2 linked regions of the Danio rerio genome follow. The protein of the gene in region 1 interacts with the protein of each later gene in a biochemical or structural test. Links are inferred from orthologs where the notes say so. Each region holds a gene or a part of one and is shown on either strand. Other genes may lie near its edges.

Region 1 (3,018 bases):
TGGCTGTACACCGTCGCTTCCCATCCAGCCTGATAGAGCTTGAGAGGTGCTGCAAAGAAAGAGGAATAGGCAAAAATTCCCAAAGACAGGTGTGCCAAGCTTGTGGCATCATATTAAAAAAAGACTTGAGGCTGTAATTGCTGCCAAAGGCGCATCAACAAAGTATTGAGCAAAGGCTGTGAATACTTATGTACATGTGATTTTTTTTTATGAAGTTTTTTAATAAATTTGCAACAATTTTAACAAATCTTTTGTCACATTGTCATTATGGGGTATTTTGTGTAGAATTTTTAGGAAATAAATGAATTTAATCCATTTTGGAATAAGGCTGTAACATAAAACAATGGAAAAAGTGAAGCGCTATAAATACTTTCCAGATGCACTGTCTATCATGCACACTAATAAAGTTGCACCTCATTCACAATAGAGCGTGCTGATTGGTCCGAACCAAGTCTTTCTTATGAATTAATGCTGAACCCTCAAAGTGGTCACGCTGTACCGTCCGGTACAGACAGCCAATCTCTACGCTGGATTTTACACAATGATCTCATGGCCGTGACACAGCTTCAAATTATCTTTTGAAACTGGAAAAACGAATTTGCTTAAAACAACCAGTTTTCTTTTTTTGTGAAATATATGTGTCCTAATAGTGCTTTTAGCAACGTGGGACACACATATGAATGTCAACATCTCAAAAAATGTGTTTTGGTGGTTTTGTGACCCTTTAAATATCAAACCATGCAAAAACCGAGAAATGAAGGCCAAACAGAACAACACACCTTTGGATCAGTTTACATCACTACCTTTAATTTAGGCTACATCAGGAACACATGATAGCTCACGTACATGTAAGATCTCAGAACGGGACGGTGTGCAGGTGTGCTGTGATATGTGCTGCCCTCAATGTAGTTCACTAAGAGTCCGTTGCGTACATAAAACTATATTCAATAGACATTAACTGACAGTGCATTTTCAAGTTGGCTGTCTGTGAGATCCGAACAGAAGAGACTGACTCCGAGCGCAGGGTTCGCGTGAAGGGAAGGGGCTATACATCAGTGGCGGGACGTTCACCACAAGTGCGTCTCTCGAATCTCGGCGATCACCTGACTGGCTTTCTGCAAGGCCTGTGGGTGTAAGAGAGGTTTGGAAATATTTGCAATATTCCTTTGCATGATTAAATATACCCTTAAAAATTCAATAACTTTAAATCCTCCTAATTCACAGCTGAGTAATATTAACTCTACCGTTAGTAAATAATCACTTAATAGAAATTATTTCTATTTTCTGTTTTTCTTTAATTATAGTTTAGTAATATATGATAATTTATTAATTAAATAAAGTATGATTAATTTAAAAACTATACTGCATTACTAAACAATATAAGTTACAATTAATAATAGTTAATATTAAATAACATATTAGGTACTTTAATAATTACTTATAACAATATTTAAAAATAAATATATAAATTATTCAACATGAAGTAATAGATAATAGCATTATTAAATTAATATTGATACAAAGGCTACAATAAATAATAATGATATTATTGTGAAAGCCATTAATATGCACTACTTTGTCTAATTACAATTACCAATTATATTACCATTTTTCACAACTAATAAACAATTAAAATTAATGATTAAAAGTATTAAAAACAACTATGAATTACACATTGACAAGTATTTTGAAATATTTTACAATTAGTGTTTTATTACATTAAAAAGAGTCATTAAATATTAACATCAATGCATTATCTTAATATGAAGGCTACTTGGCACAACCAAAAATGTACATAAATATTATTAATACAAGAATCATTAGTATAATTAAAAAGGATTAACTAATGTAATTAAGTGTTTACATTCATGTACATTCTTATATATGTGTTTATTCTACAATTATGACAGTAATTACAGGCAATATAATTAAAGTAATTCTAATAATTATTTATAACCATATAAGAATATTATACCAGTTAGGTATCATTATTTAACAGATTCTCTTGCGCATCTTACAAGCAAAAATAATATTTGATTAACATTAATAGAGGCAAATTATTAAACAATTACCTACATAAAAACCTATATTTTTATTGCATGATTATTACTATTTAACCCTTTCACACGTACAATCACACCTGTGTGATTAGCCATGGCTGGTCCCTAAAACGTATGATCACACCAGCGGAATTAAAACACTGATAGCGTACGTCATCAACTGCTAAAACTCAAATCTGACGGCCCTTGCTGAAGCACAGAAAGAGGTGCGCATCGCTTGTCATAAATAACAATTTATCTATGCTTTCAAACAAATAACATTTATTTTTGGTTTCAGACATTCAAATACACATAACTACGAGCAAAGCATACCATTTAAGGTTTGTAAAATACAAGCGGATGTCTATAGAGATGGCAATAATAACTATTTTTAAATATAACCGGACGATGTGCTTTGTTCACCTAAGATACACACTGTTTATGTTACAAGAATATTTTCTCTATTCCTCTTCCAGAGAAACAGTTGCTTACCTTCATGTATTTCGGAAAAAAAATTATAAATAAACATGACGTAAATACAGCAGGTCATATCTCTCCTGCAGTTTTTGCTTAAAGGGATACAGCTGTGATCGGAAGGTTACTAGAAGTATTTATATTATTTATGAAATTACGCATACATTAATTCATGAATGCATAACTAACCAAAGTCAAAATATATGTTCTTTCACATATTGAGAATCTGAGAAACAGAAATTTTACAATATAATACGAACATTTCATGCATGAAAGGGTTAAATAAATGATGATTATTAACATCACCTTGAGCATATCAGCTGCTTCGTTGCGGCGTTGAGCCATGTCCTCAGATTCGGTGAGCAGGTCATCCAGCAGGGCAGGTTTATAAAGCTGTCCCACCAGCTCGCTCTGTAAGCTGTCCTTCACGTGGTTCACCAGGAAGTGCATCACAGCCTTTGGTACGCTGTAGACACACCGAGACAGCATCGGCACTCTGCTTAAA
Region 2 (4,276 bases), on another chromosome or scaffold:
TAAACATATTTAGAAATTGAAAGGTAATACAATTATCTTAATTTTTTTTTTGCTTCTCTTGATTTTTTCTCTTTTTAAATTTATATTTAATATTTTTTATAACATATAAATTTGGGTGTACTAGTCTTTGGACCGTTATAAGTTATTTTGTTAGATAAGCTCCATATTTGGCTTTAGTACTGACTAAACTAATGTATATGCACAAATATAATATTGTATAGCTTCCTATTAAAAATATGAATTTAAAAGAAATATTTGTGAGGGGTGTACTCGTATTTGCTGAGCACTGTATTTGCCGTTAAACTGTGTCAGTAGAACAAATTCCTCCAGTACTACACTACTTTCAAGATTGCGACTTTCCCACGATGCTGTTATTTATGTTTCTGTCTGCATCTCTGTAAAGAAGTGTAATATTGTGCTCATATAAATTCTGAAAAATACAACCGTAAACAATCTATTTTGTGACACCATTATATAAACGATAAAGCATAATGAAATGATGGACTTTTTTATTCCGTCCATATGATATATATTATCATACACAATTTCATCGGAGACTAACAGTCCTCAGGCCTGTAGCCAGCCTGGTGAAAGGAGTGGTTAGTTTTTTTCTCAAAAAGTGAACCTTTTTGCAGTTATACGCCTCAGTTTCTATTTAACTATGAGATTTAAATACTGCATTTTAGTGATTTGTTTGCTGGATTAGCTAGTCAGATGTCATCATAATCATACTTTTTGATGTACTAAAAATATTTCCTAAAAAATTGCAATAAAAAAATTACTAAAAGGCTACATTTTTAAAATACAAATTTATTACATCATTAGGACAAAAGTTTTAAAGTAAAAAAAAACTGCAGCCGACTGCCAGCACATTCAACATTCAAAATACATGCACATATGATTTCAAAACAACATTAGCACTATTTAATTGACTGTGAACAATGTTGTACTTTGATAATCATTGGCTACTAATAGGGTTGCAAATTTACTGGTACTTTGGTAGCATCGCGATACTAAGGCTCCAAAATACTGGCAGTGACTCTAGTTTGTAAACGGTAGTATTATCATTAATGGTTCAACAATAGTCAACAGCATGTGGAAAAGTCCCTAAATCTCATTCATTTGTGCCAGCAAATAATCAATAGACTACTTTATCTTATTGTAATTGTAACACTCTATTAAAATTTTCTGATGCTTCAAACACACATCTGAATCAGTTCATTTCTATTCCTGCAAATATGATTTAGCTACAACGACCACGACAATCTCTTAAAAAGAACAACTTACTAAAGTGAAATTTATTATTACTTTGGATTCTTACTAGATAAAACTGAAAATAAAAAATACAATAGAGGAGAAAAAATGAAAATAGCAATAGGAAACACTAAGAAAACACTATTTTTTTACCTCATATTTTGTTTAAAAAATTGTCTTTCTGTAATGAATTTCATTTGGTATAATTTGTATCTCATATTTAATGCAGTTTTTGTTGGTCAGTTATCTACAAAATAACAAATAACATTTAAGGTGAAGTGATGTGCGTCAAAAGCCGCTATACTTGCTATTGTGATACTTTTGTTTTGCTGGTATAGTATCATGGCCTAAATTTATGGTATCGTGACAACCCAAGCTACTAATAAGATTTCCATATTTAAAACTTGCAAAGAATATTTTTCTAAAGTTAATAAGTGTGAATGTGCGATTATAAAACCAATTTTACAATAATTCTTGTGTCAAAGCAGGGGAATTGTGTTTATAGTTTAATGAATTGGGTGAGCTTTCTCAAAAATGGCGTTATGGTTTTTAAAATTTTAAATAAAAGTCTGGTTTAGTGTTTTGACAAATCAAGTAAAACTGAAAGAATGTATCATCAGTGACAACATCATCCCAAACATGGATTCAGGATTCATCACCCACCTTAAGTCTGTAATTTGCAACAGCAAGGTAAAAGAGAAAATCTCTCTGGTCATCTTTTTTGCTTGTGTGAACCAGTTCTGGTGAAAGAAAACATTTGAGTGAATTATCAAACACGAACAAGCAGGCAGTAACAAACCAAAAAAACAAACAAAAAAAGCTGAATCACAGACCTTCTAAAAGCTGAATGCCTTTTACAATGTCATTTGTGTATTTGCTTCTGATTAAACACCAGGCATATTCAAAAGTAGTGTCTCTGGAAACGGGTCCTTTCACCAGCTCTGCGTTATACTTCTTTTCAAACTTCTGCAAAATAAAAGTCATGTCAGTGGATCTAATCACTCCATTCGACCAGTAGGATGATGATGATGATGTCAGGATCATGTGCTCCCCCTGGCAGACAAACGTAGACTAACTTTTACAGGAAACTGATTAATTACACTTTGTCTTCTATTTTAAAGAAAATAAAATTATGTATTTGACACGATAGGAGTCATTTTAATATTATGGAGTATATACCGTATTATACAAACATAAACTAATAAAAAAGGTGTATTAGATATCTCAAAACCCCGTAGTGTTAGATGTTATAACAGTACGTTTACTGTTCGTCAATAAAGATCGTCAAAATAACACAATGAGTTAAAGATACATGAGTGAAAATCATATATAATGTCCATTATTTTTGTTTTGGGGTGTACAGTAGAAGTGCGTCAGTCGAAAGCCTTGGTATAAACCCGACAACGGTGATTACACTATATAAAACAGTTTCATCAAGACGATATCTAAGTCATTTTTGATTCACAGCAGTGAAAAGACTGATTAAAATGCTTTAAAATACCTTTAGATCTTCTGGTGCTACTATGTCTGACACAACCGCCTCCATCTTCGCAGAGAAACCAAACACTGGAAGGTTCAGGGCGTTGTCAAAATAAAAGTCAGTGATTGCGACACACCGTTTTAATAGTGAGGCAGCAATCTATCTCGCTGTTTTTAATTAACGTTAGTTTAAATGAATTCTGTGGTTATCGAGTTCTATGTTATTTTGATATATTAAAGGCTATGCGTTTCACCTAATCAAATTTCAGTTTGTTGAACATAAACATTTTATTTTAAAGCATACATAAACATACAGATATTTTACTATTCCCATTCCTATTATTTACTCTTTACTATTGTGATATCATGGTAATATTATATAGTATATTTCAGTTCACTTTAAATGCCTTGAAAAAAAATGGAGAGAAAAATATATACGTAATCCCCCAAACTGTTAAAAATATAATTTCCATCACAGAATGTAAAACAATAGGCAATGTAATGAACGTGTGTATGCAGTTTCATAAAAAATACAACCAGCAAGACTGAGATTGTGAAACGGAAGAGTTTACTGGGTAAAACTTTTTTTTTTTTTGCAAAAAACAGTTCACAAGTTTGTAGCAATATTTGTTTACTATCCAAAATATGAATTACATTGTCAATGAAAAAGAGATATGAGAGCGAAAAAGAGAAGAAGAAAAAAACAAATAAAGAACATGATATAAACTTGAGGGTAAGACATTTAAGAATCAATAACAGTACATACACTAAAGTCATTACAAAATGAAATAGTTCTGTTTGCGTTCTTATTTTTATATAATGAATTTAAATGTATATAATGACTAAACTCTTGCAATTACTGGGTAACACTTTACAATAACAGTACATGAATACTGACAAATTAATACGTAAACTAAACATTACCGTAATTATGAATTAATGATCAGTAAAGGTATGCGCTTATTTATAGCTTAAAGAAAAATCACCAAAAGAGACATTCCCTAAACAAGTGAGCAACAGACTCAGAAGAAGTCTCACAAAAAAAGCGAGACACGTCAACGTCATTTTTGTAAAAATTGTTTAACTGGATGAAACCCATGCATAATTTTAAAAGACATTTCTTTAATTTTATTTGTTAAAACATTTCTGAGGGAGTGACCAAACATACGACCATTTAATATCATCAAAAAAGTTGTTTCAATAAGAAATAGAAGAAGGATTTGAGATGACAAGACCTGATTTTATGATTGTTTTTTTTTGTGGAGAAACAAATGGATCCATCAACAGTAAAATCAGGACTATAGTGACATACAGAAATAAATAAATTAATAATATTTCTAAAAAGCATACAAATCCCATGAGATGGCCTTGCAAACAATATTAAATTATTTTTTGGATATGGGCAGAGTAGCATATATCTTACAGTAAAATTAAAAATACAGACAGAATAAGTAAAAAAATACCATTACTGTCAAATAACTGGTTCACTAATATCGCCACATTACTGAACCAGTTATTAAAGAATAAAGATTTCCTCTTATCA

The links.
Region 2: the proteins of dnm1l (region 1) and fis1 form a complex in vitro, tested with the Homo sapiens proteins (2 studies listed by BioGRID). The link is inferred for Danio rerio from reciprocal best matches to the Homo sapiens genes DNM1L and FIS1.

What each region holds. Positions count from the first base shown.
Region 1 is NC_133200.1:21,480,773-21,483,790, forward strand, and holds the end of dnm1l (dynamin-1-like protein), read right to left. Parts: intron 2,980-3,018; coding exon 2,820-2,979; intron 1,125-2,819; coding exon 1,068-1,124; 3' UTR 787-1,067; downstream 1-786. UniProt on the Homo sapiens protein: Functions in mitochondrial and peroxisomal division.
Region 2 is NC_133182.1:20,824,641-20,828,916, forward strand, and holds the start of fis1 (mitochondrial fission 1 protein), read right to left. Parts: upstream 2,843-4,276; 5' UTR 2,801-2,842; coding exon 2,756-2,800; intron 2,221-2,755; coding exon 2,088-2,220; intron 1,995-2,087; coding exon 1,918-1,994; intron 1-1,917. UniProt on the Homo sapiens protein: Involved in the fragmentation of the mitochondrial network and its perinuclear clustering. Plays a minor role in the recruitment and association of the fission mediator dynamin-related protein 1 (DNM1L) to the mitochondrial surface and mitochondrial fission.